Linked DNA regions of Schizosaccharomyces pombe. The protein of the gene in region 1 binds, or shares a complex with, the protein of each later gene. Each region holds a gene or a part of one and is shown on either strand. Other genes may lie near its edges. The genes, in order: ago1 and arb1.

Region 1 (17,104 bases):
CAAACGACCACTACGAGTGGAAGAGGAGGGAGGAGGGGGGTTTAACAATTGTGAGGCCGTAGGGGCACGGCTGTTTCTTAAAGAGTACGCACGGTTCATCATCTTGCAGAAATAGAAATAGATGTGGGTAAATAAGAAGAGATGGTAGTAATAATAAAAATAAGTGGTAGTAGTAGTAGTATATTAGTATGTGATGATACTAATAAGAACAATTATAGTGAGAATAATTTAGTAGAGAGAGGACGAGTTATAAGTAAAAAAAAAAGAGTAGGACGAAAAATGTTTAACACTTTACCAAAGGGCGATACGAAATTTCGTGGGTATATAGTTAAATAGGATAGATAGTTAGATAGAGAGAGTGTGTATAAAAAAAGCCCAAAAATAAAAAAATTTGTCGACTATATGAAAAAATGGAAAGGAGTCGGGATTTTTTTTTGGGGAAAGGGAAAAACGAGGAAATTTTCCTTTTGGATTTCTTTCAAATTCACTTAGCTTAGCTTAACTTTTGCTTAGCGGCTATTCTCTGGGTATAACAAAAATGTGATGGGGTATATATAAAAAAAAAAAAGATTATATATATATATATATCCCAAGGTATGTTATATCCTATGGTATGAGAAAGGATACTATAATAAAGTATAGTATAGTTAAAGGATAAAAAAGAAAAGAAAGTTTTGACTAAAGTCAATGAAAACGTGAGTATGGATAAAGGTGTATCGGTAAATGAGCGAGCCAGTCTATATATACAAAGCTAAGGTGGGAAAATGATATCATCACTTGCCGTAGTGAACAAGAGTAGGTAAACATCATTTGGTCAGCTTGCTGGCCACAGTTGCCATAGATATGTCCATTCCTTCTATCACGTAAACATGACGTTCCCATTCGCGATAATATAAAACCGAATTTCTTTCTGGATAGCGATGTTGACCAATGCGTTTGGCGCACCGCGTTAACTGGAGCTGAAGGGGGAGGGGAGGGGGGCAGCGAGTGTTGAAGGGCCGATGGGGTAAACAAACGCGTCGTCGTTGTGAAAGAAAGAAAGAGAGTGAAAAGAATGAATAGGCCGGGGAGTGGTAGGATGTGGTAAAGAGAGAAGAGGGAGAAGTGACGATGGGTGTGTTGAAGAAGGATAGAGCAGAGGAAGGCAAAGTGGGTAAAAAGGAAATAGAGTAGAGAAATGAATAGAGATAGAGGGGATAAAACGGAGGAGGATAGGACAGAGGAGAATGGGATAGGATAGGATAGTGTAGAGGAGGATGGAGTAGCTTAGGATAGAATAGTGTAGTGTAAAGTAGAGTAGAGTAGAGTAGAGAAGAGAAAGAAAGGTAAGAGAGAGAGAGAGAGAGACAAGAGAAAAAACAAAAGATAAATGGACCGATAAAGATAAATATAGAAAGAAAGATAATATAAATGGATAAATATGGATGAAACAAAAATAAAAAAAAAGGTTAAAACAAAAGAGAATAGAATAGAGAAAAGGTAAAAGTTAGAGGCAACAAGGGTAGGTAACAAGGAACGAGGTGACAAGAAATGGAAAAGTGAGAGAGAGAAAAGAAGTAGCGAAAGAGAGTGAGTGATATTGTGAAGAAGTGAGTTGTGAGTGAAACGGGATATGAGTGTAGTAAGAATGAAGAAAAGAAAGATGAAATGAGTTCAGAAGAAATTAGATGAATTCAGAAGAAATGATTGTAAACGAGTTTAAGAAAATGCCGACGCTGACTATGAATGAGTATTAGATACTTGCAACAATTTTATCAGTTTATTCGGAAGATGAAGAGGATCGAGTGAATACGGAAATATCTATCTTTGGCAATACGGGAATGGAGCACCAAATGGAACACGGGAGTGTAACGGGCATGGCATGGCATAGCATAGCATAACATTGCATGGCACATGGCATGGCGATGTACTGATAATAGCTAGAAATGCTAGAGTAGCGACGAGAAGAGAGAAAAAAGAGCGACAAAAGGAAATAAAATAAAACGAAAGAAAATAAATAAACAAAAGAATACTCGAAATAAAATAAAACGAAATAAAATAAAATTAAACGAAATAAACAAAAGAATACCTCTATTATTTCCCTACTATTTTCCTACTAGTTCCCTTCTACTTTCACTTCCTTTTTCATGGCTCTTCTTCTCTCTCCTGCTCCTCCGACCGTCCGTACTTCTCTCCCTCTCTCAAATCTCTCTTCCCGACATATGGGAAATCTTCTTTTCCCTCCTCGCTGCCTTACTGTACTAGACTCCTGCTCTGCCGCCGCTGCCTTGCTTCCCTCCTTTCCCTACGGTGCGCGCGCACGATAACCAAACGCCGCAAGAAGCGATCGTCTATTGGATAAAGTTAGTGTCTCATATAGCCGAGGTATGGGAAAGGTGCGCAAAGGCAGTGCGCAGCAGGACAGACAGTTAAGAGGGTGCCAAGCAGTGCAGTAGAGTGCAATGTAGTACAGTAAGCTACCACGTAAATGTAGCAGAATGCAAGGCATTTCAGTAGGTGCAATGTAATGCACTATTTTACAATGTAATGCATTATTTTACAACGTAATACACTAACTAACAATGTAATACAGTACGTTCGCTTTCGCAAAGTAATACACCGTTTTGTTATCACCTCGTAGTTTTTATTTGCCCATCTTGCAAGGAACGAATTGCTGCGCTGCTTTAAAATGCATAGTGCAATACCTTATAACGTGCTGTATAACCTTATGCATCGTTTATCTATCAGTGGAAAAGCTCTTTCGTACTTTGCATTTAACGTGGAAACCTACAAACTCGTTCCTACTTATTCCATACTACGCCAAACTACACTGTACCCCCGTTGTTCGCTAATCCTAGGATCAAGCCTAAAGCTAGTGGTATTTGTTTGGCAATGCGCACAGGGGACGCGCTTTGTTGAATTGGCAAATGGAGCGCAGAAAAAAAGTTGCAGTTGTCTTTTTCCCGTGAATTCTTTTTCTTCTTGTGATTTGTCTTTTTTCTTTTCTTCTCTTCTCGTGAATTCTTCTTTTTCTTTTCTTTTCTTCTTTTTCTACATTTTCCTATTCATCTATCCAAAACTCTGATTTCTTTCTTGACCGTTTCAATTAGCATTACAAAATGATCGACTTTAATTAGAAATACAAATTGAGTGATTTCAACTCTACCTAATCGACTTTAACAAACACTCCAACAAAAAACTCTACCAGCATTTCCACGCTTGTGCATTCACCAAACTGACGACCTCTCTTACAACACGTAAAAACGACGCTCGATTTGCCTTTCTTCGTCTTTGCTAAATCCAGCATGCCCTAATCAGTCATACTTTCGGATGCATCGCCGGGCACTACGCCTTCTTCATCCTTTGGATTTGCTCCCACAAATGACTTGACAAATCATGACTCTCCCTCCAGTTGTCTCGTGCCTCTGGTGAAAACATAAACGACGGCCTCGAAAATTGCGTCGGCTTTTGTAACATTGATCCTGCCAGCGAACGCCGTGTCCCATACGAACTTGGCTTTGTCGACACAGAATGAATACCACTCGATACCATCCCAGCGTTACCACTTTCGTCCATTGCTGTCGTTGCTGTCGCCCTTGTCGTCACCCTCCCTATCGCTCCACTCTCGGGAACTTTTAAATCAATATCCATCGCTTCTTCATTCGTCTCATGCTGCTTCTCCAACTCTAACAATACTTGCTGCAATCGTGTACTCAATCGATCCTTCTCATTCCTTAAACTCGTAATCTCCACCTCCTTTTGCGATATCGTAGACTCTTTCTCATACACCTGTTCTTTCATTTCTGCATTCTGAATTTGCAAATCATTGATCTCTCGAAACAACCGTTCTCGCTCCAATGCATCTTCCGCTTCCTGAACTTGTCGAATGGCTTTTTCTTCTCTCAACAAATCCAGCTCCACTTTTTCCGACATTGTAATCGTAACCAAATTGTCCTGCTTTTCTCCTCCACTTTTCATAGACTGTTGCTGTGGGTATTCTTTGAGCGCCGACGCTGCTTTCATCGTTGATCCCGGTAACTTCTTCGTGGAAAGTCGACTAGTCTCTAACTTTTTCGAAATCGAAGGGGATGACGGAAACGATTGTTTTGACGACGCCGCATTCGAAACTCCCTTTGAAGAGGATGATGGCGCTTTCAATGTAGAACTTGCAAATCTATTCACCAACGATTGACTACGCAAAGACGTCGTCGATGGTTTCGTAGGCGAAGATCGTGTAGATAGAGATTCTTCTGTCAAACTCGCCTGTGATGGATTCGAGGATGGTAATGGTGAAGGTGCTTGTGGTGTAACAGCCAGTTTAACCGGTGATGTCTTTAAAGGAGAGGCCACTCGTGGCAGCCTGGGACGTGAGGGTTGATTCGGATGCGCATTCACCGTAATGTCCTTGGAAAGTTCTAATATTTTTGGTAACTTTTTAGGATCCAATCCCACAATATACTTGGACAACACTGGCTGACTAAAAATTTGCACAAGTGTTGCCAATACATTTGTGGTAGCCATTCGGACTGGCTCAAACGTATCGTTGATCAATGTCACACATAGGCTACATAGCGTTTCAAGCGATGCTCGAGGCGGACAAACATCCGTCAATTGTAGGCAACGATTCAGCCATCGAAGTGTCTCAGTTTTTACTTGTGGATTTTTATGCTTCAAAAATTCTAACGTCTCATCCATTATATCATTCAACCCACAGCTCTCAAAAATAGCATTGGCCGCATCCAGCAAAGAGTGCACCAAACTCGATTTTCTCTCTTTAAACCTATCAAATAAAGAAGGCAATACAATACCAGTATACGGAAGAAAGCCCTTCCTTAGCGCCTTGGCAATATGCGTCAATAATAAAGCCGCTACACCCACTACCACCACGTTTGCATCTTTTAGAGACTTTGCAATCACTCGAAGTAACTCACTATAGTCACCCTCTTGATAAACAGGATTGGAACACACCGGTACCATGCTTTCCAACGCTTCCTTTCGATCTTTCCACTTGGGAGAAGATAATGCGGTATGGAATTCTGGGGTTAGTTTGGAAAGAACATCAACGGGCGTACTTCCGACAATGTTTTTGGCAGGAGATACAATGGAACGGGAAGGAGATGCTGAAAAATCAGAAGGTTGTGAGACCTTTCGGTTAGGAGTACTGAAACTAGAAGTAGAGCGTTGCAGAGTGTTTCCCTGCGAAGATGACTTTGAGGACAAATGTGGTTTGGGTTTGGCATTCGATGAAAAAGAAGGAAGAACCACCTCTTGGGTGTTGAGGGAATTTGAAATATGTCCTCCCGTGGTCGTGCGAGATGTAACATTTTGAAAAGAGGCCTCAAGATCGGAGACCTGTATTTGCTTTAGTTGAGGAAACACATGAGTCTTGAATGCATTACCAACCCAAGCGTACAAGGTTATGGATAGATTCGAAGCTTCTTGCCTGATATTCTTATCTGATTGGGCGAACAAAGTAGGAATCAGTTTATAGAATGGAATAGGAGAAAGTGCAGGGATTCCAAAATTCTCCAATAAACTATTTAATTCTTTTATAGAAGCAACTGCCTGCTTGGGATGCTTAACGCGAGCCGCCGAAAATAACCCTTCTAATACATAGTCCAGCGCATCGGATTTAGCTAAAATGAGTAAAGCCTGGTGAGAAGCATCACGGATAGATTGTCTAGGAGATGGTAAACATTTTTCGAGTAGAGGAGCAACAACGAACGATTTGGCAGAATTAACTCCTTTTTGCCTAGACTTGTCTAAAAAGCATCGCAGAGATTTTACGGCATGCTCTTGTGTTGGTACGTTACTATCACACAGCCCTTGTTTCCATAATGCTGGGTCATGAATCCAAGGCTGGAAACAAACGTCTGAATCATCCAATGCTCGGTTCAATGCATGCAACAAAGACTCATATGCTTCAAATCGAACTTTCCAAGACTAAATAAATCAGTTAGAAACCTAAAAACTTAAAATAACCCACTACAGAAGTGAGATCCATCAATACTAGGGAGAACAGGTATGAAAAGAGTAGTGACGGAAACACAAAGCAATGAGTAAAACTAATTGAAATCGTAAAATACAATGGAATTGATCAACAGTGCCCTTAATGCCGTTGCAACGATATTTCCATTTGTTTGCTTTTCATTCCAGTTACATTTTTCTGGACAGCAAGCTTCTATCTCCATTAATTTGTAAAAAGCTTACCTTATCAAAAATTTGACTGAGAATGCGGCTATTAAAATCGTCCAACTCCATTTACATAAACAAATATAAATTAACGACTCGTATGTTTACAACCAGCAGAGCATGAATAGTTATGTAAAAGAATGAATTTTATAGACAAATAGAAAAATGAAAACGAATGAAACGGACGGGATTCTAAACAGTAATGAGTATGGCTCTGAAATTGGAGTTGTACATGTGTAAATAGAGACGACTAACTTTACGGACGACAATGTTTCACTCACACAGCCAGCACCGTAGAGTTAGCACAATTCGTTAGACCATCGTATTGTTGAATATGAACGAGCGCAAGATTACACTATTAGAGCAAAATGTAAATAAAGCAGAGAAAAAGAGGAAACCATCAATAATTTTAAGTTTTTAGAGTAATTTAATTCTTTAAATAAATAACTTTATCTTAAACCGTACCAAAATGATGCTAACAGAAGATGAGCACCCAAATGGAATGTTCACCGATATATTAAGCCTTATGCAAGTTGCTTTTTGAAACCGATTAATGTGCTATTGGGTGGCTCTGTAAGATGCTTGTGATCTAGTATAAGTGAAAAAATGAATTTCTAAGACTCTTACTGAATAAAACATGACGTTTAACTCGTTTAAAGAAGGGAATCCTATAGATTGCAGATTTTTAAGTTTTCGTTTCTATTCATACCTAAGTCTAATTTTATCTTTCATTTGCCCAATCTGAATTCGAGTTCTTCAATTACAATAAGTTCAAGTTATACATTTTTAAAAGGATTCCAATATTCTGTCGAGCACCCAATTCATACATTCAATTCTAAACAATCCATATTTCGTTTTGTAAGCCAAGTAGTCAAAAGTAGCTAGTCGATGTAATACCATGCTTGATCAAATTTTCGGTCCGCAAAGAAGCCGTGTTACGCCTTGAGTTTCTTGGATTTTGAAGAAATTTGTCAGCGGTCATTGTATAAATTACGAATTGCTTCCTCTTCCGCTATCGTCACTCTTTGCAACTTATCATCTGCAGCCACCCTTACCCATATTCAACATATTCGACGAGAACGATATTTAAGTGTTTTCTAGAACTTAAGAACGCTTATTAAAAGAAAATTGTTGATTTATTCTTGAATCTGTTCCAAACTTGATCGATTGATTTCATAATCGCTACAGTTTCGAGTTAAAGACATTGGTAATAAGTTTGTTCTCTGGCCACTTCTTTGCAATAAAATCCTCCCCGCTCATTGTTTATAAAGTTCTTTTTTTTTAATTGATATTAGCTTCAAAAATTTCTTTACGATGTCCTACAGTTTTCAGGGATTGCTCAACCGCGTGAATGAGAGCGCAATTGTAAATACTCTCAAAGAGTACACCGGTCTCAATACACCCAAATGGACCTTTAACGATATTCCCGATCTTACGGGTAAAGTCGCTCTTGTCACAGGATCTTCAGGTGGCATTGGTTATGTAACTGCCCTCGAGTTGGCTAGAAAAGGCGCAAAGGTCTATCTGGCTGGTAGGAACGAGGAAAAGTATCAAAAAGTTATGAAACAGATCCACGATGAAGTTAGACATTCCAAGATCCGTTTTCTTCGTTTGGATTTGTTAGACTTCGAAAGCGTGTACCAAGCAGCTGAGTCTTTCATTGCCAAAGAAGAGAAATTACACATATTGGTCAATAATGCTGGTATCATGAACCCTCCCTTTGAATTGACTAAAGATGGTTATGAACTTCAGATTCAAACCAACTACCTTTCACATTACTTGTTCACTGAGCTCTTGCTCCCCACACTCCGTCGTACTGCAGAAGAATGTCGACCTGGCGATGTTAGAATAGTTCACGTCGCAAGCATTGCATATTTGCAGGCCCCTTATTCTGGTATCTACTTCCCTGACCTAAATCTCCCGCATGTACTTTTGGGTACTTTTGCTCGTTATGGACAATCTAAGTATGCCCAGATCCTTTATTCCATTGCTTTAGCCAAACGTTTAGAAAAATATGGAATATATTCCGTTAGTCTACACCCAGGTGTTATCCGTACCGAGCTGACTCGTTACTCACCTACCTTTGCTCTCAAATTGTTAGAGAAATCAGTCTTCCAGTATTTACTTTTGGATCCAATCAGAGGCGCCATGACTTCCTTATATGCTGCAACCAGTCCCGAGATTTCCAAAGAGCACTTGAACGGCGCTTACTTCACTGCAATTGCTCAGCGTGGTATTCTTCATCGCGCTCATGATGATGCCTTTGTTGAGGAGCTTTATCGCTATACTCATAAGATATTTGAAGATCTCAAGTATTTAGCTCCTTCTCCATAATTCTTTTGCTCGTAATCTGAACAATGATGAACGCTTCTTGAACCACTTAAACTAGTAAAGTGTTTCTACCTCCTCATATATTTTTAGTTGTCTTATGTTGGAATCCCTTTATGATTACTTTATATTAGTAATAATATTATACAATTTCGTATTGCTTAAGAACCACAAACAGCATTTCGACTTTGTCGCTACATCGCTTCTTCCCTGGTAACAGTAGGTTTGATCTCTTACTTTTCTGTCTGTCAAAGCATTGGTATTGTGTATTAGCCATTTTATCCACACTTTAGTCGACTGTATTTTAATTTACAAATCAAATATTTACTTTATAATGTTGATGGTAAATATGGAAACGACTAGTCGACATTTGACCATTCACTATTTACACTCAGAGCAATTTTTTGTTTTTTTAATCTTAAAAAAGAATCTTTCTTTTGAGTATCTCTCTGTGCCACGGGGCATTTTTTGAATCTGCCGAACAAATTTGTAAGAAATGTGAATTTACAAGGAATACTTATTAAAAAGTAAAACTCTTTTAAAATAGAAATTTTTTTATTTACTCAGTAATTGATGGTTTTCATATTCATTTGTTTTATCAAAGTACTTCGTATTCGTTATTACCCGTAATCAAATTACTCTCTCACGATTATCTGCACCTTGCCTTCTTCCAGAAATCCAACACTAAGGAGGCTACTAGTAAACCCTATAATAAAGTGTTTTATTAAACATTCAAACATTATTTTGAAAGTTGACGGGAAATAGCTAACTTTTGAAGAAAGTGAAAAGCTATAATTGGTGATTTTTGGGCTAAACATATTTTTTTTTCTTTTTTTTGGGGCTTGGTCTTCACTTGACTTACCGCTATTCTTTCAAGAGTATATCTATCTTGCTAGTTCTTGCTTTTTTATTTCTCTACTCGGCAAGACTTTTAAAGTAAACGATAGTGGTTGATATAAATTCAGTTAGTGTATTGACCAGCAATTTTGTTTTTTGGGGGGTTTTTTTGGTTCTCTCTTTATTTTTTTTTGTAAAAAAAATATAAAGCAAGGGATTTTGGTGAATATTTATTAACTTAATTTAATATTTATCACAATCTTCTGGCTTCAACTCATTTTCCGTTACTCAATTTACAAATTTTTAGCATTTTAAAGAGGATTTCAAAAAAAAAAGATTATACTTTTTATCACACATAAAAGAAATTTGAATGTCAAACACAAACTTCTCTACTTCTAGGTCATCAAAGTCCATTCCGGAACTTCCAAATTTGGAAGCTCTGCGAAGCCTGTGGCGTAAGTAGATTATTGTTTAAAATATCAGAGAGGAATGTAAAATAGTGTCATTGAAAATTGACTGACTTTTCGCCTAAAACCTCCTACTGTTTAATTTTGTCGAGAATTTTACTAACCACCTTATATAGCTCCACCGTCATTGAACGAATCGGGCGATACTAGAAGCGTATGGACTACTCATACCGGAGAGCCTGTTGCGTCAAGTGTTCTATCTACTTCAGGTTCAAACAACTTTTCTTCACCTCTGAAAAGACCTGCACCAGAGTCACATGACGCTCCTATCGGTAGAAGATTGATGGTAGATGATCCCCGCTTAATTAAACATGGTAAATATGATTTTAGCAGGCATTGCACTGACTATGGTCACTCCTACGAATGGCCTTATTTTCGATCCCTTCGTCGTGAGTCTATGCTTTATCACACTTCGGGATCTTATCCAGAAAGTCAGCCTCCTTACTCTTCTTATTCAACTGATGCTCCACATTATTATCATGCAGGTTCGGAATCCTCTGCTTACTATGATAGCCGTTCTCGTTTGCATGGCATACAACCTCCTCCCAAGCGACGCACACTTAGTCCTCCCCCTAGACGGCTTGCGGACCCAGTGGTTGTTGGAAGTTCTCGTTATGTTGAAGAAGAAGTATACAGAAGGCCTCCTTACACTTTAGCTTCTGAAGTTCCTTCATCCGCTTCAGCATACCAAGCTGGTTACTCTTCCTATCCTGTTCGATCTTCCCCCCAACTTTCTCATGAAGACACTCGTCATGGTATTGCAAGCAGTGGTTCAACAAGGTATCCTTTTGTACCTGCTAATACTCGTGCATCTCACTCCCCTAGTTTGCTTGAACCTTATGCTCACTCCCTTCCCTCTTCGGTCGCGCCAGTTGGAGCTTATCCTGAGAAATCTTCTTACCTGCTTTCTAATTCCAGCAATGATAGTGCCTCAAGAAAAGAAAAACCCAAAGCTCGTGCATCTACGCCTCCTCCATTAAATTTTTCCAGAGCAAGCGAACATAGAAATGAGAAGGGGGAACGCATTTCGATGATTAATCCCCGAGTTGTTCTTGACGAAAATGGAATTTCACACCGTAAGGCTTAGCCCATTAAACCAAAACAAATAATTCTAACAACTTAGGCTCCCGTTATTTTATTATGCTATGTGACAACGAGACTGCCATTGCTCATGCTAAAAAAACTTCTATTTGGGCAGTCAAGAAAGATTCTTCCAAAAGAATTTCTGATGCATATAAGGTTTGTCTTTTATTTCCCTTAAACGATATAGTTTTATACTAACACTTTAACAGAAAGCCAGTGTTTATTTTATTTTTGTGGCTCAGCAAACGTACAATGCTTTAGGATATGCTCAGGTAGTCAGCGACCTAAATAGCACCGAACTGCCCTTTTGGTCAGATAGCTCGCATGCTGGAGGTGTTCGCATCAAGTGGATTAAAACGTAAGTGTTGTACTTTTGAAGATTTCTTCTGCTTACCTAACTAGTTGCAATCTGTTTTCTGCTGAAATTTCTGAAATTGTTAGCCACATGGATCATGGGTCTGAAGCTAGAGATGGCATGGAAATGATGTATGATGAAGGCAGCAGACTTTGTACGTTGATTAACTATGCTATAATGAAGCGAATTGGAAGAGACCGTTGATATCTCCCTTTTGCTGGATTTTCAAGAATGTTGGATGCTTCCTTTAACAAAATTCATGAAACTATATACTATTGGAGCGGATTGATGTTAAATGCAGTGGATTTGCTTAATAAAGCATTCCGTATAGGTCGCTCATCAACATTAAAGATTTAACATTATTAAAAAGTTTTTCTGAACAATAAAAAAAATGCACACTATAATGGTGTTAATTTTCAATCTTGGAGCAAATCAGTTAAGTAAAATTATCATTATTGACTTGTTTTTGCTCCTCTAAACGAAATCTTAACACAGTATGCAATGTTTGGTTCTTGAACTTAACCCAAATACTCTAAAAAATTAGAAATTCTGATTCTCTTCAAACAGGCTGTTTTCAAATTTGAATGATTTTGCTTTGAATGATGTTTTTTCTTAATAAAAAAGCTAGATGAATCTGAATTAGACAAATAGGTAAATTGGTTGTTCAACCATTGTGCATGGAATTTATCGATTTTAATCACTTCTTCTGAGATCCTTAAGTATCATTTAGTTTATCTGTATTTCTATATTGGCGTGACACTTACATAAAGTTCGGGCTTTGGGTTAAGTGAATGTCATTAGTATTATCGTTATCAACATTTGTTGATCGTTGGAACATGGTCAAGCTATCAACAGTGGATAGAGCATAAAAAAACTAACATTAAATGATTAAAGAAAATTACAATAATATAAAGCAAAATAAAAACAGAAGCAGATTTAATAAGGAAGTAAAAGTTGTGGGCAATCCAGTAGTCAATCGTATATCTATTTCATTACTTATTGCATGCAATCCATCAAACATTACATATACCACATCTTTGTTTTCAATTTACTTGATAGAGCTAAAAGCGGCTTTACTTCTTGATCCATTGATGCTTCTGATGTCTCAACAAAAGTATCATCGGCTGTCACGTCTTGATAACGGGCTAAGTTACTAACCAAATGCGCATAATAAACAGGTGGAACCAAGGAAACAGCACTTGTTGCTCTTGCATAAACATAACAAAGATTATAACACAGTGTTTGGAATTGGTCCGGTGGCATCTGAATTTCGTCGTGCAAAACCGTGTAGTGAACTGGGACCGAAACGCCTTGCAGAGATGGGTGGGATATAAGGTAAAAATCGTACTGATAGGGGTGAGTAACATGCTTTTCAATAATTGTACCAGGGAGGGGATTTCCATTTCTATCTCCGTCGGATTTGTTCTTAATGAAGAAACGAGCGTGATGTCTCTTCTGCGTTGTGCATACTAGAATCTTTGGATTGTATTTTGGTGATAGACTATGACACGCTTCTTTAATCTGAGAAAGCTCATCGTTTATTACTGATAAAAATTGTCCTTCCGAGGTACCGTCACGGAAATAGATAATACGTTGTGGTTGTTGTTTAGTCATTGCCCTAAACCCTTGCAATAGATATACCACGATATCCTTCATTCCTTCAATCACTTCTTGATGACGAGGTTGGGAACGTGAAACAGCCGTATACTTGCAGCCATTTAGGTCTACCGATGCCACAATTGAAGCAATCGAAACACCTGTTGCACCAACCCCAGGGTGATAAACATCTCCACCAAGAATAAGAGTAGGAACATTTCCCAAAGGGTTGGATTTGGGTATCAACGAGCAATTAATTCCTCCAACCTTGACATTAATCTTCATGCCTAAGTTTGCACAGTATTGGGGCTTGCTTTGTAAAATATGTTTGCTAATAGCACATTGAGAAGGAACCCCTAACATAGTATTGCAAACACGTTTAATGGAACCATATGGTTCAGGCGAATTTTTATCCAAAATAAAAAAGAGATAGTCAGGAGGAGCATTACCAACCTGTTCAGCTTTTTTATATAACGTTATACATAGTTCTTCAACACTCCCTCTAATATCTGCATACAAAACTGGAGGTTTTTTCATAACAAAATTAATTCCCAACGAAGTGAGTGTTTGTACATATGTTTGCAGGAAATTTTCAATACCCCTCATAGGGAGTCTACGCGTTGAAGTAAAACACATTACAGCCCAAGATCTAATAGGAGCCCTCGGCGGATCAAGGAACCGTTTACCACGTAAATTCCAACGTCCACTAACGGGACGCTCAATGCAATCTCCTCCGTAACGAATAGAAGGAGTTTCTAAAACACGAGCTGGAACTTCGAGCATCTTTTTCTGAATTTTCATACCATATTGGGTTAGGTAGGGATCTGTATCCCAATCCATCTGATGGACAAAATCATCGATTTGCTGGACACGTTCGAAAGGTCGTTGGACCGCAAAACGGATCATGTTGGCAGTTTGATCACTATTCAGTTTTGCAGTATATCTCTGACCTTTTACAACAAAACAGAATTCAATAGGAAGCATCGCCCCGTTCTTTACTAATATGCAAGGTAGGTTAGGATATTGCAAACGAACATTGTGATTTTCAAGAAAGTATTCAGCTACAGAGATTTTTTGCTCTTCACCATTAAGACGGCGAACAAAAAAGCTATCACTGGCACTTTTTGAGGAAAATCCCTCGATGGAATAAACTCTATTCGCCAGGTCAGTACCGACATTATTGCGATGCTGACAGGTCACCTTTAGAAACCGAAACTTGCGGGAAAGACGTTTTAGGTCAAAACGTGTTAAGTCTCTAACGTTCGAGCAATCTGTGTATTCCATAAGGATCTGAAGTAAAGAATCATTACGCCAAAATGCACTCGAAGATATATCTACATTAACAGACATGAAACCCTGATTCGGTCGTATAGACTGGTAAAACCCTTTCCAAGCCTCTACTCCACCTCCAAGTGAAACTCCGTTTTCACCTGTAAAAAAAGAATGCATGAAGCCAAACAAAGTCTCAGATGGTTTCTTCTTTAACAGCAAATCCAGAAACATTATACTGCTTAGAACTTGCGGATCCGAAGAATACTTTGAGTTTACAAACTGGCTAAGAGTATGCAAATTAATTTTAGATGATTTTTGAATAGAGAATTCAATTTCTCGAGGGTGCGACTCACTGCCTATGTTTACCTTGATGGTGCCATCAGCAATATCACCTTTAGACCAACACATGCTTCGCCCATCATAAACAGAATTCATCCAGGAAGATCCAAAATACTGTTTAACTTCTTTAGAATTCCAAATCAACTGGGATTGCTTTCGTGGGACACGTGAACCATCACCTACTATGACCTACAACAAAAGGCGTTAATTTGATGCAATTCTACGTTAATGTACAAAATTTGAGGAAGAGATGAAATACAAAAGAAAAGAATCGTGCAATGCAAGACAGATACAAAATGATGTAGCAGGCAAAGTAAACAACAGAACATTAAAAGAAAGTGAGAAAATAAACCAGGTATAGTAAAGTAAAGTCGAATAACGAATGAAGCTAACAAGTACCTTTAAACAATTCCAGTAACACTTGCACGATTTATTTCTGTATTTATATTTATATTTCAGACAAGAAAGGCCACGTGTTCTGTTATGCTTTTACTTTAAATGTGTAAATTTCCTTTACAGTGCTCTAATTCCATAAAAATGTGCGATTTCTAGGAACTTACATGATACTGGTTGATAGTCTCGTTAGGTAAAGAAATGATTTGAAAAAAGTTAGCTTTCAAAGTAATCTGCTTGCCCAACCCTCCATAACCGGGACGTAAAGCTATTTCTGAGCTTGGTTTATACGACATCCTACTCACTCTGAATCATAAAGGACGAGTTGGCTGAAGACAATTCGCTTTGGCGGTTGGAAGCTTATATATACCAAACCCTAGATTAGGACTCATCATAGTTGTCTTGTATATAAAACCTACTTGAGTTATAAACTATATTAAATCAAAAAACTATCAAGAAAATATTTTATTTATCACTTTGTTATTTACATGCTTAATACATTCGAATTTTCTATATACTAAGGTCTATTTCTATACTTCTCTGAGCACGCAAACGCAACATAAGTCTTATTTAATTTCTGAACATAAGAAATATAAGCTTATCTTTAACAGCTTTTCTTAAATTACCGCATAATTTTGTATAGGTTTATGTTTTTTTAAAGGTTCCAAATCGACGGATTTTTGAGTTTTAACCCTTCTTTCTTTATATCGTGGTTGTGATTCAATAAAAGTGAACCCAATTGTTATTTGTAACCATTGACGAAAATTATAGTACATTGAATTACTATTTGTTTACTAGTTCTATATTAACAATACCGGGAGGTTCAAAATCAATGATTACTACTTGTTTTCTTTTTCTTGTTATATTTGCTTGCTTGAAATCCTCTTTATAGTTATAATACATTTTTACAACCTGCTTTTGAGAATATTAATCTGGCAACTTTCAAGTAAATGATTTCGGTAATTGCACTGATTTTTGAAAAGTGTTGATTTCGAACGTCTTTCAAATTAAAACGGACATTTTTTTATGAAATTAAAATGCCTTGTGCTTTGTGTAATACTCGTTAAACAGCTTACCGAAACTAACAACCTTTTTAAGAAGCGAAACTTAATTAAATCAATATATTATACTGAGTAAATCAGTAATTTCTGGACGATCGGCCACATAAAGAAGCATTATAAATCGTTCTCCATACTGTTAGGCTTTTGTTTTCAATTCACGTTTTCTTTTCTGTAATTAAAATATCAGTAAAGAATTCGTTATGCCATTATTTTATAAAAAATTTTTATAATCCTATACAATTGTGAATTTACATTGTATTCAAATGCTTTTTTACATCCCTATATTTTACAGGCGTTCGCTGTTGTACCGCTTGTTTTTTTGAACACTGCTTATTATAATTTTTTCGATTATTACATTTGCGAATACCTTTCGAGGATTTTGGAACTACTAAACGCACAAAAATTCGCTTCCCACTTCTGACAACTTTGTGGGTTTCATGGTAATTTGAATGCTATAATATTAACAGATTGACACAGCGATTTAGATCCATATTTTATTCTGTACAAAGTAAATCTCTAACATTTGGTAGACGGCTTTTGCCGTAATAACCGTTGGTTTTGCAATTTTGCGCCTTGTTTTCCAAACATAGTAAACCGGTGCTTTTAGTTTATTATATAGTGATTTATTGTGAACTTTAGTATCGTGTCGTTAATATACTACTATCCAGTGATTACTGCAATGTCCATTAACTTGCTAATAGTGTGTAACACTAGCTACACCGTTCACTACTTACTATTCTTCCAGTACAGAGAGAGGTATTTGGAAGTGACTAGCTAAACTGCATTCATACCTCTTTTCTTTCCTCAAAACACCATTCTGTATAGAAAAAAAAGGCTTTTATTGTTGGACTGCTTATAAAAGATTAGGATTGTGTTAAAAAAGTCGAAATGCAATTGCATTATGTTTTTTCGCATTTGCAAAATTCATTTCGCGCTCGCAAGTCGTTAGCAAGCGTTCCTAACTGTAACAGTGTGCTCGAGTTATGTGCTGTTTTGTATCATCAAGGATTTTTAAGCTCGATTCAACGCGGAGATATTCATGGACCCGATGCTTTACCCACAATCACCACTAGGCAAAATGTAGCGACCCGCCGTCTATGGTTGGGTTTAAAGTACTTTGAGGGAAAACCGGTTCTTCACTACATACGTGCAGTATCAAAGCCTAGTAGAAAGGTGAACTTGACTCCTTCTGAGTTGTTGCA
Region 2 (15,633 bases), on another chromosome or scaffold:
ACCTTTCTATAGCGGCAACCGTCGTAGAATGGGTAGTTTTGTTTAGCAATGTGGATGCGCTATGTATATTAACTGGAAGCCGGCGGTATTTTAAAATTGGCTTAATCGTTCTTTTTGCCAGTCTCGTGAGATCTATTGTCGTTTATATTTTTTTACATTTAACAGGACTTTCACAGATTCAACCATCAACTCCTTGTGATGGGTTTCAGCATTTTGTAAATCTATTATGTGTATACTTTCGTTCAATCACTTTAACTGCGCAAACTGCAGTATAATGACAAAAGGAAATGGGAAACAATACGGCATCGACATAGTGTATCAGTTATTAAAAGTTTTTATATCACCCGTTTTAAGAAACTGGTCAATTATTAGTTCTTTAATAAGTTGTTGATATTTAAAAAATATGAATTTGATGAACCAATTGAAACCGAAGCCAGTAATCATATTTCCTAATCTTGTAATATGAAACTTGAAATGGTCTAAATAAAAATAATAATTACACCCTCAAAGCATATAGATATGTAATAGATACAATTATATAGAGGAAACACTGCAAGGAAATAAAAAAGGCAAAAAACTGAAAAAAGTAAAACTATTTTGCTGAGCATAACTAAACAAATGATCATTCGAAGATATTTTTCTTACCAGTGGAATTTGTTGCATTTTTTTAATAACAAAGTTCAGAGGTTTGCTTTTGCTGTCGCTAAAGAACCCATCACAATTTTATCAGCTACGATATTTTTTAAATATTTAATCAATATATGTATATAAGTCTTTGTTCATTATACATTTGTTTAGTTATAGAAGCAACCAGGTCAGCTAACACCGTCTTAGCTCGTAATGTAAAATAAACTCATAGTAAGCGAATGAATATTTCAGTAAGTTTTAAATGAAATAAAAATTAGAAAGTAAGTAATTTATAGAACTGTAAGCAAATGCAATCAGACCCGTTGAGATTGAATACAGTAAACTATTTTTTAAACCCAATTCAAAAAAAAAAAATAGCGTTGTTTTGCTACATGTGCTGCATTTTGTGCTTTTAAAAAAATTTAAAAATAATAATAATAATAATTTAGTGTGTAGCTAAGATGTCAGCTTTTTATAATTAGTATGTTAAATCAATTAATAACAGGTTACATTAGCTTTTAGTGAAGAATGGAAAACTTGAAGATTAGGTTGGCAGACTAATCTTCAGTTGGATGTAGCCCTATTAAAAAGCAGCAGAAAAATATTCTTTCCGATTTCGGAGGGTTGTATAATGAATTAGATTTGTAACGGTAAAAAGTTTTTGTGCAAATAAGTTCCGTATAATTAACCATGTTTTTCTAATCTCTAAATTAAAACCTAATTTGAAAATAGGGCAAACATGTAATTTTCTTGTATTTCTCGACTTTTGTTTTTTATTTTAATTAAATTATCAATTACAGAAAGTATTTATTTTTTAATATGACTCTAATATTTTCATACTGTCTATCCTTTCACTCTAATCTACATGATTGTTTTGTAAATTTGGCAGTAATTCGGCTCAAGGGTTATTAGGTTACCGGTTTATTAATCAGTTAATAGCACCTTATATGAAAAGAGACGAGATTAAAGTCATACAGTTCTACCAAATAAATAGGTTTTTTTTTTGAATATTTATTTTACGGAAGTAATATTAAAACTCGAAGTATGCGTATTTAAACATTAATTAACTAAATTTGTTTGGATAAACCGCTTTGACCATCTTGACTAACTGCACTTAAGCGAGTAATACGTTAGCCAACTTCCTATCGCGTAAATAATTTAACGCTGTCTACGACAGGCCAGTAAACACGCGATCCCCATACATGTTTTAGATGTACGGGGGATTTTTTTTTGAAGAAACTGTTAAATTTAATACACAAAAATATTTAAAAGTTTTATTTTGGATATGAGTGAAAAATTTAATGTATTTTTCTGCCGCCAATAAAATTGATTCTGTTTCCATCTATAATAGCCAACCACAACGCTCGCCTTTACCAGTCTTACCAACTGCCAATATTAAAAATCAAAACATATCGAGATGTTCAGCCGTCGAATTCAAGTTTTGAGCCCGTTTTTGAAGCATTTTGTTAACAGAAATGCCCGTATGATGGCTACAGAGGCCAACATATCTGCCACTTCTGCTAATCCTCAGTCACAGGGTGAAAATTTAAAAACTTTCGAGATTTATCGCTGGAACCCAGAGAAACCAGAAGTAAAGCCAAAGCTTCAAAAGTATACAGTCGACTTAACAAAATGCGGACCAATGGTTTTGGATGCGCTTATTAAAATCAAAAATGAGCAAGATCCTACCTTAACGTTCCGTCGCTCATGCAGAGAAGGTATTTGCGGGTCTTGTGCGATGAATATTAATGGCAGTAATACTTTGGCTTGCATCTGTAACATTAAAAAAGATAACAAACCTACTAAAATTTACCCCTTACCTCATTGCTTCATCGTAAAGGATCTCGTACCTGACCTAACCTACTTTTATAAGCAATATAAGAGTATTGAACCCTGGTTGCAAAACGATAACATCCCTAAAGACAAGGAGTTTTACCAATCTCGCGCTGACCGTGCCAAGCTTGACGGTTTGTATGAATGTATTTTGTGTGCCTGTTGTTCTACCTCTTGTCCATCTTACTGGTGGAACTCAGAAGAGTATCTTGGCCCAGCAGTTTTGATGCAGGCTTATCGTTGGATCATCGATTCTCGTGATCAAGCTACTGCTAAACGTTTGGATGTCATGCAGAACTCTATGTCTGTCTATCGTTGCCATACCATTATGAATTGCGCTCGTACTTGTCCCAAGGGTTTGAACCCTGGCCTTGCCATTGCCAAGGTAAAGGCTTTGATGGCTACTGCTTAAACAAGATTTACGCTTCTTTTTGTCTTTTCTTTCGCATCTGATGATTCCAATATTTCTTGTTAAAGAGGAACCCCCGTTGTTACTTAACCTATTTTATGTTTCTCTTCTACGATTTTTTTTACTTGCGTAGCTCTGTGTTTAGCTGTCATCTATGCTACATTACTTTCTCGATCTGACCATTACTTTTGCGTTGTTCCCGTTAATGAACCCTTTATTTTTATTTGCAATATCTAAATCTAGTTTACCATTAATAATTTCGGGAAATGGTAAACTTTTCTATTTTAAAGAAAATATGCTATTTCGTGGTAACTTGTGCACAATTGAATTGTTTGATTGTGATTTTTTACGCTGTTACATCAGATGAAATAATTAAGCATGTATTTGAAAATTATCTAAACCACTTTTTTCACTGTTTATTTGTGGCTAGTTACTGCATTTAACATAGCAGCTGCTTCTTTGGTTAAAGAGTTGAAAACTTTTTAGCATATTGAGAGCCCTTTAAGGTAATTGCTTTGTAAAACTTGAGATAAGTAAATGAGGCATCTTTTATTTAATTAAAGTATCACATAAAAACGGAAATCATGTACACAATAATGAAAGAAAAATAAATCTTAATATGACGATTAAACCATGGTATTCTCCATAGGCTGGTCGAAATTTTTTGTTACTATAACATGATTTTAAAATTTCAATGGATCAACAATGTACATTTTCACGGCCACTTTTTAGTTTATAATATTTGACGAACACAAATAACTTGGATAAGATGTTATCGTTCATAAGAATTTACATATTCACCACTCCAGATAATACTACGCAAGACTAAACCTAACTCCTTCGTTTCACTGATTCAACAATTTATTAAATTTCAATATGCTTTTTACCTTTAAGACATGTTATAAGCCTTCAGACACACTCATTTTTTAAATATTAATGGCGAATATTTTACTTTGCTGGTTTGTTGTTGAATAGCGCAGATAGCTATTACTTGATAGCGTAATTAGTTAAACTCGCTTTTATAAAAAATAGTAGTAGTTGAACAAGCTTCTATATTAGTAGTTTAACGAATACGTCTAGAAAATTTGCTATACTAGTATACGGCTTCAGGTACATATATCATCGGTAAAAATTTTTTTGGCTATATATAGCAGCTTGTCGCGCCGTACCAGCAGTCAAACTAAAAAACTCCCAAATTCTTTTAAACGGGCTTTTGGTATAGGTTGTGAATATAATGGCAAAAAAGGATAAAACCTCCGTTAAGAAATCAGTGAAGGAGACTGCATCAAAGAAGGGTGCCATTGAGAAACCTTCCAAGTCCAAGAAGATTACTAAGGAGGCTGCTAAAGAGATTGCAAAGCAAAGCTCTAAAACCGATGTCTCCCCTAAAAAATCTAAAAAGGAGGCTAAGCGTGCTTCTAGTCCCGAACCTTCAAAGAAATCAGTAAAAAAGCAAAAGAAATCTAAGAAGAAGGAAGAAAGCTCCTCAGAATCCGAGTCTGAATCTAGCTCATCAGAATCCGAGTCTTCCTCTTCAGAATCCGAATCTAGTTCTTCAGAGTCCGAATCATCTTCATCTGAATCCTCTTCGTCTGAGTCTGAAGAAGAAGTGATTGTGAAAACTGAAGAGAAGAAGGAGAGTTCCAGCGAATCATCTTCCTCCTCTGAGTCTGAAGAGGAAGAAGAGGCTGTTGTAAAAATTGAAGAAAAGAAGGAGAGCTCTAGTGACTCTTCTTCCGAGTCTTCCTCATCTGAATCTGAATCCGAATCTTCCTCATCTGAATCTGAGGAAGAAGAAGAGGTGGTCGAGAAGACTGAAGAGAAGAAAGAAGGCTCCAGCGAGTCTTCTTCTGACTCCGAATCCTCGTCAGATTCCTCCTCAGAATCTGGAGACAGCGACTCTTCCTCTGATTCTGAATCCGAATCCAGCTCTGAAGACGAGAAGAAACGTAAAGCCGAGCCTGCTTCTGAAGAAAGACCTGCTAAGATTACCAAGCCTTCTCAAGATTCTAACGAGACTTGCACTGTTTTCGTCGGTCGTCTTTCTTGGAACGTAGATGATCAGTGGTTAGGGCAGGAATTTGAAGAGTACGGTACAATTGTTGGTGCACGTGTTATTATGGATGGCCAAAGCGGTCGCTCAAAGGGTTACGGCTACGTTGATTTTGAGACCCCTGAGGCTGCTAAGGCTGCTGTTGCCGCTAATGGTACCAAGGAAATTGATGGTCGTATGGTCAACTTAGATCTCTCTAATCCTCGCCCAGCCAACCCTCAACCATATGCTCAACAACGTGCGGGTAATTTTGGAGACCAATTATCTGAACCTAGTGATACCGTATTTGTTGGAAATTTGTCTTTTAACGCAACTGAAGATGATCTCAGTACGGCTTTTGGCGGTTGCGGTGACATTCAATCCATTCGTTTGCCCACAGATCCTCAGTCAGGACGTCTTAAGGGTTTCGGTTATGTTACTTTCTCTGATATTGACTCTGCCAAGAAATGTGTGGAAATGAACGGTCATTTTATTGCTGGTCGCCCATGTCGTTTGGACTTTTCAACTCCTCGTACTGGTGGAGGTAGCCGTGGTGGTCGCGGTGGATTTGGCGGTCGTGGTGGATTCGGTGGCCGTGGTGGATTTGGTGGCGGACGTGGTCGCGGTAGAGGTGGTGCTCGCTCTGGAAACCCCAACCGTGGCTCGGTTGCTCCATTTTCTGGGAACAAAGTCACTTTTGACTAAGTATACTGGCTTTTAACTATATTGAGTTCATTTTTATGGGTTAAATGTAAATACCTTAGCAAATTAATATATGAGTTTGGGTTTTTGGGAAACTTTTTGGCATAAAGGGTTTTAATAAATGTTGGGCTGTGGATTTGATTTAATTGGGTTGAAGTATTCAAATACAAATGACTTGTTTGGGTTTGTTATGGAATGAATTTGGGTTTGGTTTGGTTTTATTGACTTTATAAAGATAATAAATATGGGCCCGTTGGTTTTACAATTTCAAAGCAGTGATGGTTGGCGTTGTTCTACGGTTTAGTTCATGTATTCACCTTTCCTTTATACGTTCCATAGAAGCTTTTGACATAGCTTTAGATAGGTTTTAATATAAAATAGAATCTTATTTAGTTTTGTTCTTGTTCATCTAATCAATCCATGTTACTCACAATCATCGTTGATCACTTTCTAATAGCTAGTAAATGAAGACCGTTTTGTGTTCCTTTTTGGGCTTTTCCATACGGCACTTTAAATTAATGATTTTTTGTTGAACTTTGATTGTGGTCTTACCCGTAATCATAAATGAAGAATGTAGTCGAGCCATTGTCATATTGTCTTATATCTTCAACTTGTAATGTCTCGTCTATTAAATTAGGTAAGCATCAATAGAAGGTATCATTGATTCTACATTACAAATACGCTTCTATTTCAACTTTTAAATTAATACAAGCATGTTTACTTACACTTTGGTTGCGATTATTTTAAGCAAATTAAAAAAAAATATTTTTGTATATCAAATTATAATATAGCTAAATTCAATTGTAACAGTAGTGATGAGTTCTGGCATATTCAAAAAACGGTTGTAGAATAATATATCCAGCGTTACTAAATCCGGCAAAGGAACTGTCTACTTAACTCTATGAACAAAGCTTCTAATACAACACTGTAAATTTGGTTCCTTAGATTCCCCTTACCACACTGATAAACTAGTAAATCAACTATACGACTAGTGTACTGACTTTCCAGTCCAGATGAAGTGATTGAGTGATGGCAGAAGGTGATTTTAAAAATGACAGTACAGGTTGTATTGGCGATAGCGTGGAATTTACTACTTTTAAAAAACGTACAGGAAAAAGTCTCGGTAATAGAAGAAAAAAGAGGGTATTTCTTAAGCTTTAGAAAACCCGTCTAATAAATATTAGGGATTGTCTGGATGGGAGCCTTATTTTCAAGAACCCGAACTGACAGCTGAAGAGAAATTGGAAAATGAGACATTATACAGCAGGTGAGAATACAAAATATTGTGTCTTACTAACACTTCTAGGAACATACCATTGACTGTGTTAGTAAACAGATGTTAAGGACTTTGCTGACAAATTAGGCGAATGGAGCGATTTATTCAAAGATATCGATCACGCAGAAAATGGAGCGACCCTACAAGAATAAGACTGTTTACAATGTATCTAGATTTAGGAGGCGTTTCTACGGGCCAAAAACAGTTTACAGGGGGTACTGATATTAATAACGATGCGAAGGCACGAGAAGTTTCCGCTCAAACCACGACTGATTATATTGAATACGATATACTTGATGAATATGATATTGATTTTAAGTGGGTTGCTGGAGTATTTCTGTGAGTCATTTATGTTTCCATTGAATTTAATTCACGTTGTATTTTAGCTAATCAATTTAAGGTCGTCACACATTTTGTATAACGCTGGACTAACTAAGGAAGAGGATTTGCAAATAGCTTGTCAAATTGTTAGAAATTTTCTGCTAAGTGTTTTGCATAACAATGTTGCACCAGAATTCGAAGATAATATTCGTGACGCATGTTTATTAGCAGAGCAAGCAGAAACTGAATTAATTTCTAATAAGAGGCTATCAACTAAACTTCCCGGTAGATTGCAGCGGGCATTGGCTAGTATACATGTTGACAATTATAAAGGCTTATGGGACAAATCGCAAAGTGATAGGACAAGTGATAGTTCAGTCAATTTCATTGAATCCAATAATACCAAATTCATGCCAAATGATGAACTATTTGAGCCTGATGGAATTAGTAGATTTTCTACACAGCAAGCGCGCGACTACATCCAGAGAACTCTTGGTCCACGATATTTGACTGGGAAAGTCGTTGAACAAGAGTACTTAACAGTCAAGTTAGTTTCTAAAACGCTATTGAATTTTTCAAACCAATCTTTATGCAAAGCAGTGTTTATCGTTTGGGATCCACCCGGATCTAAATATTCTCAAGATACAAATAAGGAAAGACTAGAAGTAATTTTGGAATCTGATTTACTGAACAACACTGTTGATGGCACTCACTTAGAGGGATCGTTCACTTTTTTGGATAATGGACTGACTATATTAGACACTGTGCTTGCTGTGCTACCCACCTTTTATGAAGAAGTTAAAGATGAATAGCATTGTATTTTAATATAGTTACTTTTGTAATATAGCTGGATATGAAATCCTTTAATTAGTTGCTTCTTCTTATTGTGATGAGGATAAAGTTCTAACATATATTAATGACCCGTTGGTGAGTTCGTACTTCCCCCAATTGCATAAACAATAAGTATAAGAAATTATAATTCCCAATCACATAATAGATATTACTTGTGTATGTAATTTAATGTTTTCAAATATTTTTATACAAATACGTCAAACTATGCGACAATATTTTGAAAGCTAGATCGTGCAGAAGTCGCTTCTGAGTCAGTATTGAGCAATAAGAATTATTCGGATGATTTTTTCAATAATCTTAAGTTACTGTCAGGCTCAATGCAATAAACACGATCAAAAGAACATTTAAAGCTATAATGTGTATTCACTTTTAATTGTAAACACAAACGATTAAAAAATTTACGTGTATAAGTATTTTTCCTCTATGAAGGCTAAAACGTTATGTGGAAAAGAATAGTCAATCATCAATAACGTTCATAACTTGTACTATTGAACAAGTCGTGCTGGGTAAAGATAGAAATCAAGTAACTGGATTGGAAGTTGTGATTAGCATAGCGAAACGCAGCGCCTATGGCGAAATAACCCAGGTGAGGAAAAGACACCTTACAACTCCAAAACGACGAAAATAAATTGGTAATTGTTTTACTGGGTTAAGTGTATTGTAGAAGCATAATTGAATTGAAGAAAGTAATTGCTGTTCTTTTGGACCTGTTATTTTTGTACAGGAGTAAGCAAACTACGGCTTTCTGCAATAACTTGAATGTTTTGATATATTTACACATTCTCAATAATTTAAAAGAATTGAAAATAATTATTAAATTAATTAAAAAAATTGAAGTATCGAGTAGATGAATGTTGGAAAGAAATCCGAAATTCAAGTCTCAGCTAAAAGCAATCTTAACTTCCTTAATGAACTAATTGAGGAAAAAAAGCGATACGAGGACGAGAAGCGCAAGATTAGCCATCAAAAGTATACCGATAAATTATTGGAAGCCAATGATAACGAGACGACCAAAAGGAAATTACTGGTAAAACAAAAAAGAAAATCCAACAAGGAATTTCAAAGTAATATTATCAAAAAAAGAAAGGACGAGGAAAGAAAAGGAACTTTAAAAACTGAACAAGCTAATGAGGAAGAGCTGTTGCAAAGAAGTCGTCTGGAACTGGAACGAAAAGCTAAAAAATACGACCAGTATGCTGCCGGAGAACTGGAAATAAAGGAGACAGAAGATGATGGAATCCTTGTCGACTTCACACGCAAATGGGCTGAGGAAGCACCCGAAAATGAAACAGTTGAAATAACGGATGAATTTGGGCGAACCAGGAGTGTCTCTATTTACGAGACCGGTAATACCCTACTTTCACAAAAGGAGGAGTACAAGCCCGAAAAGCCAATATACGGTGACTATATGCCATCCTTCGAAGTAGACGAAGAAAAGGTTCAAAAATTGTGGAAGGAAGATGAGCAGCAAGCAGTTCATTATGACTCGACTAAGGAAGTAAGGAATAAAGGTACGGCATTTTACCAGTTTTCTTTTGACGAAAAAGAAAGAGAAGAGCAACTTCTATCTTTAAAGGAGATTCATGCTAAGGTTACACAACAGCAGAGAAAAAACACAGAAGATGTGTTAACCTTACGAGACAAAAAACTTGAAGAACGGCGGAAATTTCTTGAGCGAGACTATGCAATAAAGTTGGGGGAGAGATGGATGTCTGAACATTTTTCTAATAATTGAGGTAGAAACTAATGAAATGAAAACGTAATGATAACGACTCATAAACAAAAGCTTCTTAGCGAAAACAGAGAAATGTAATAGTACTGTAGGAAAAAAGGAACACGAAATCACCAAAAACAGCAGTAGTTTTCTTCTTTTTTGTTTTATTTTAACGAATTATTTATTTCTGATTATTGAATTCACAATCAGTATGAATGTGAAATATTAAATTATGTATTTTGGAGAACCATTTTTTTGTTGCGTATTTATAAAATTAATAAGGGAGAAAGGATAGGGAAAAAAGCACAAAACATATTAGCAAGAGTATACAAGCAAGTGAAAAATAATAACCAGTTGGATGGTCAGCTTTACTTAAGCATTCTTTTATAAATTTTTTAATTGGCGGCAGAAAAAGGAAAAAAAATAAACTGGACGGCCAAATATATCAAAGCAAAGAAACGTTCTGAGGATATTAAGAGGAGAAAACAACTTATATGTTTTAAAAACAAAAAACAGAAGGACAATCTATTAAAAAAAGAATCAAAACTCGAAAGCCAGCTAAGACTGTAACGGAATTAAGAGGACTTTGGGTGAACGGCTTTTGAAGGCTTTTGGATGCAACCGCCTCCAATTTCATAAAGTCGGTACAAAGCAAGGTATCCGCATACCACAATGTCCAAGACAATAGCACTCAACGTTGGCAAAATCAGAAGAAACGCAATGGTGAATGCGGAAATAACCACAAATTTGATAAGGAAAGACAAAATTTCTTCAAGCAACATAACTAAGTATATATACAAAACTAAAAGATACGTTTTGAAATGCGGAAAATGATAATTAGGAAACAGAGGAATATGACTCAGACTTTCAAAACAGCAGTTATAACCGACCGTGTACGTTTGTAAAAACAATTGAGAATATTATTAAAGTTACTATTCTCGTTTTTAATATTGGATCACTAGAAGATATTGATTTGTATGGGTTGTAATTTGAATTTCAGTAAATCAATGGCGGTAGATAATAAGGTAAAACTGAATTCCGCTGTCGAATTCAGGGCAATCTCAGCATTCCCGAGCGGTGCTTTACGAAGTGTAGTGGTGTGCGTTATTTTGCTGAAAATTGTAAACACATAAAAAACCAAACTTCAGCAAGAAGAATAAAAAAAACGGAACTGATTGGTTGTTTATCGAAATTTTTGCTAGTTGAAATACAAAATTTTTGTTTAAATATTAGTGCGAAAGAATAAGGTCTGCAAAAAAGAAAAAATGGTCTGTTTATTAGAAAAATAAGCGAAAGTTGTTTAATGTTTATACCTTTCAGTGCGCTTTTTCCATTAGTATAACTTATTTTTCGTTTTCAACCCTCTTCTATCGTTTTGAAATTTTTTTTATATTAATCGTACCATCATCATTCTCTACTCGTTTCTTGATGTTTTCGGCAATGACATACATTTGATTATACAGCCAAACCCAGTGAAATTGTGTTGGAGTGCAAAATGTATTACGACACGATATACTATGCAATTTTTTTTACCAACCGCGTATAACGCATACGGCGTAATAAGCCGTTACCATATCGTTATTTAAAAGTTTTAATTAGAAAACAGCGTAATATAACGGATATGCACAAAATGCGTTAGCATTGAAAGCTAATGAGGTCTTGTGTCTCCACACTCGAAATTGCGGGGCTTGACTAAATTCAAGAACAACAAAGAGAAATGCCTGCTACATAAGGGATTTTGCCTGTGAAATGTGCGCAGCAGATAAATGTAGATCACGGAAAAAATTTAAAGTAGCACTTGGATAGTATGATGCGTTTACAAGGAAGTTGCTCAAACAGCAGAATGTCTGGCTGTAAACAGGAAAATGTCGCAGGGGGCGAAGTGATAAAACTCAGGGTTTCATGAAGTAAAAAGTTTTGAAATTTTTTACTAAGGTCCAGAGTTGGCTGTTTTTGTAAATTTTTAATCAAGTTTGCATGATTGCTAAGTAAAAGTTGAATGTCCTAATTTGCTCGTCCGAATGTGCTCTTTTTTTTTTTTCAGCGCACTCGTTAGACAGATAAAGTGAATGTTTTGCTAGGCCATTTTCTCGTTCTATTTTGCCTCGATTGAAACGTGGTATGTTTGCAGCTAAAAGGTATGTACAGTTAAGCCCAGTGGAGACAAAGATGAAAAGGAAGTAAAGCGAACTATGAAGCGAAACTATAAAGCAAAAACAGCTAGGTCGGGGAAAATTTCTACAAGAATTGCTTAAGTTCTAAAAATTTAAGTGTTTACTTTTAGCAAGAATAAATGTGTTTTCCTTTATTTTATTTTGTATTTTTTTTTTCTTTTTTTTTGGGGGGGGGGTAGATGGGGTGCAGCGACTCTTTTAGCAAAAGCTGCGTCCACCCATAAGTGCGAAAAGACCACGTCTGTCTTTATTTGGCGTTGTCGCTATTGATTTGAATATTGGCAATAACTATAACGCTTATGCCAAAGAGAAACAAGTCGGTATAAAAACAGGTTGATATTTTAAAGCGCGATTTATTAATGTAGTTGTTAAATAATGCAGTATGGTACAGGAAAGGAATAGAGAGCAAGGTAAAGAAAAGAAGTGATGAAGGAGGGAGGTAAGAAAAAAAGAAATCTCATATTGATTTTTTTTAAAGGTATTAAAGAGTATATTTAGAATGTTTGGATAAAATATATATCTCATGCGTCCATATTCCTTCAGTCATTCATTCCTTCATTTATATACCTCTACATCTCTTTTTTTCTTTCTTTTCTTTTTTGTTTTCTTCATTTTCATTTTCATTTTTCTCTTTCTTTCCTTACCTTTTTTTTATTCTTTTGATTAGTTCCTTTGTTTGTTTACATGCGCTTGCATCTTACTTTGTCCCTCTCCTACCCCTCCAATCTCATAGTACAACTACTTACTCTCTATGCTCTCTCTCACATCCTTTGTATGCTTACACTCTCTCCCCGTCGCCCCTACGTATTACCTGCAACCTAGTTATCAAATTATCCTTCCATTACCCGGAGCTTCTACATCATCCGTTGTCAACACATTGGCCAGATCCCGCTCTCTCCTCCTAATTCGTTTCTAAAATCGTCCACATCGTCTATCTATGATAACATCGGTCTCCAAGCATTAGGGGCCTTATCTTAGATAAAATAGCAATCACTCGTCCTTTTATCAGGAGCGTGGTAGCCGAGGCCTTTTCTTGGCCAATGAAAAGTCATCATCAGTCATAGACTATGAAAAGGAATGCTACCACCCTTATCATTGGTGGTTGTTTTTGATACTGTTTAAGCGAGGTTATTTATTATTACGTAGGTGCATTGATTGTTATTTGTTTAGAGTGGACATTACTGGTGTTGTTAATAAAATGCGTATTTGCGTTAATGCAGGTGGAGCATGAAGAAAATTGAATTTATCCTTTACCAAATTCAACATTACTACTCTCTTATTCCTTCTTCCTTCTTCCTCTTTCCATCTTCATTCCCATACCCTACATCCATCCTTGATTTCCATCATTCCATACATTAGATACGTACATCTATCTAGTTAGTTACATTAGCCATACACTACACTACATACACCCCATTGATCAACTCTTTCCATTCCATTTTTTTCTTTACCGGATCGTGATTTGTGTATTGTCGATTCATCGTGTATTAACATCATCCATTTCAATCTCACTATAAACTGGTTGCCTTTTAGTTTGTTTTTGGCCCGAGATATTGGTTTTCTTTCTTTGCTCTACTTCCCCCTTGCTTCCATCCATCCCTTACAACTTTGGTCTTTTTTGTCGCTTGTTACCTATGGCCCTATCGCTTTTTCTTTTCCAGCATATATTGTGATTTGGTTTTTTTTTCTTTCACTGACAGTCCTCTTTCAACGAATCCCTCTTTATAAGGCCTTGTATTCTTCTTCTTCTTCTTCTCCTTCTCCATTAAACTTTGTTGCTAATCGATCCCCTCAAATCGTCGTCCAATCTTGGTTTGAAAAATTTTTTATTACAATTATTATTTTTGTTTCGTTACGAACTTGGCTAATCAGCTAGTTACGAGCTCGTCTGTTCTACTCTTTTTTTTTCCGCTTTTTTCTTTTTTCCCCTTTTCATCTTTCATCCTTTGCTTTCTTCCATGTAAGCCATATATATTTATTTTCTGCTAAAAAAATATTCTACTTATCTATCTGTCTGTGAATCAATCTTTGTCTACAAAGTTTGAATTTTTTCTTTTTGTGTCAACTCCCAATCACCCATTTTTGTTCCATTGTCGTTCCCTCTTTTGCTATATCTTTTGCTAGGCTTTGCCGTAAGTCTTTTGGCATTGTAGCGCAGTTAACGATTTGAAAAGCGTAGCAACAATTATTTGAATTCATAACTCATTTTTTCCATTTTTTGAATAGGAATATTCATTACAACATACTCGCGATTGTTTGTTTCCCCTTGTTCTCTGAAAAACATTTTATTTTTTAACCCTCAATTCCTAATTTCTGTTTGAAAAATCAATAGTCTACGAAGATAAACGTGTCGCTTACTTTTTTTTTCTTTTTTGTATATTTTCGTCTCTTCATTCAACACTCTCAATTTGGTTGAATAATCTATTGGGATCGAACTAAAAATCGCGTCGGATTCCAAATCTTTCGCTTTGTAAATCTGTTTTCATTGCTTACGCTACATTTACTATTGTTTTTTAATTGCTTTGTTCCTTTTTTTTTCTTTGCACCTTAACTTTTATTTTTGGCTTTCTACCACTTTAAATGTGTAAATAGGTTTTTCCTCTTCCTTTTCTTTTTTATAATCACCTATCTCTTCCTTCTCACTATTTTTTTTGTATCGTGTTGTGAACTGGAATACGTGTATCTTCCCATCTTTCTTTCTCTTAAAAAAAATTGGTCATATATCACATTTTTGTTCCTTGACCATTTTCCTCTCTTGCTTAATCCGAAAACGACTATTTAAAAATAAGCAATATATTTAAATATCTGGTTATTATTAGGTTTCGTTTTATACTTCAAAATATTTATTTAGTTTGATTCTTGATCCCACTGCCTTCTGAATCTTTATTTATTGCTTTTCTTCAAAGCTATGAACGCTCAACCCTTTCATAACAACACTTCAGATGTGCAATCCTTTCAGGACATTATAAGCAATTCCTATCAAAAACCTTTGAGCTTAGTTGACAGTACTGATCGTGCACTACCGGATTCTTCTCTTTCAAGCTTATCACGATCTACCTTTCAATTTCACAAGCATCACCTTTCTGGCAATGAGAATCCTCAGCCCTCTTCCGAAAGCCCCTACTTCACTAACAATGAACGTTTGAATTCCTCTAGTTTCCCTCAAATCCATGATAATCAATTATCTCCATCTTTTAACACTTCTTATCAAGCCATTCCTTCCTCCTCCTCTAATCGATCCCGTGGTGGTCCTTACACCCCAAGCATTCGAGATGACTCTCTTCTAGCTTTACTCAGTTTCTCCTCGAATCATCGTCTGCATTCTATGCCCTCTCAACTTCAGCCTTTTAATAATGCATCATCATACACTACTCCAATGGCCCCTTTTACGGCATCCTTTTCTAACAAGGTTTCTCATTCTGCTTACCCCACAAGGAGGCTACCTAGTCAGGCAAAAAAAACATCGGCAATAGAGAGAGTTCCGGTCAATCTCAATTTCCTACAGTCGGACAACTTGGTTGTGCAGTCATCGCCGCAAACGAATTTTGAAAACTTTGAGTTTCCGAAAAAGATTCCATCAAAAGAAGATTTGGAAACTCGTGAAGTGTTATTACTCCCTCCGCAAACGTCTAAACTCTCAAACAAAAATTTGGACACCAAAAGTTTTACCGATGTTAACAAAATTTCCCAACA

What was found.
Region 2: ago1 (region 1) and arb1 share a complex: the UniProt entries of both Schizosaccharomyces pombe proteins name them as parts of the argonaute siRNA chaperone (ARC) complex.

Annotation. Positions count from the first base shown.
Region 1 is NC_003421.2:332,170-349,273, reverse strand, and holds ago1 (argonaute), read right to left. Parts: upstream 15,196-17,104; 5' UTR 15,138-15,195; coding exon 15,009-15,137; intron 14,803-15,008; exon of another isoform or gene 14,638-14,802; coding exon 12,262-14,637; 3' UTR 12,204-12,261; downstream 1-12,203. Other genes in the region: lipid binding protein Pil1, read right to left, coding at 1-102; TOG/XMAP215 microtubule plus end tracking polymerase Dis1, read right to left, coding at 3,325-5,922, 6,190-6,240; SPOM_SPCC736.13 (dehydrogenase), read left to right, coding at 7,486-8,505; YTH family RNA-binding protein Mmi1, read left to right, coding at 9,707-9,791, 9,920-10,879, 10,927-11,042, 11,096-11,244, 11,289-11,445; mrps8 (mitochondrial 37S ribosomal protein uS8m), read left to right, coding at 16,791-17,104. UniProt on the Schizosaccharomyces pombe protein: Required for G1 arrest and mating in response to nitrogen starvation. Ago1 regulation of cytokinesis and cell cycle checkpoints occurs downstream of dcr1. Required, indirectly, for regulated hyperphosphorylation of cdc2.
Region 2 is NC_003424.3:1,893,420-1,909,052, forward strand, and holds arb1 (argonaute inhibitor protein 1), read left to right. Parts: upstream 1-6,546; 5' UTR 6,547-6,632; coding exon 6,633-6,746; exon of another isoform or gene 6,747-6,787; coding exon 6,788-6,870; exon of another isoform or gene 6,871-6,909; coding exon 6,910-6,927; exon of another isoform or gene 6,928-6,966; coding exon 6,967-7,218; exon of another isoform or gene 7,219-7,279; coding exon 7,280-8,012; 3' UTR 8,013-8,186; downstream 8,187-15,633. Other genes in the region: Arv1-like family protein Arv1, read left to right, coding at 1-275; sdh2 (succinate dehydrogenase iron-sulfur subunit protein), read left to right, coding at 2,045-2,872; gar2 (nucleolin), read left to right, coding at 4,104-5,606; protein ctr1, read left to right, coding at 8,900-9,787; SPOM_SPAC110.06 (uncharacterized protein), read right to left, coding at 12,309-12,401; serine/threonine protein kinase Ppk1, read left to right, coding at 14,849-15,633. UniProt on the Schizosaccharomyces pombe protein: Component of the argonaute siRNA chaperone (ARC) complex which is required for histone H3K9 methylation, heterochromatin assembly and siRNA generation. The ARC complex contains mostly double-stranded siRNA.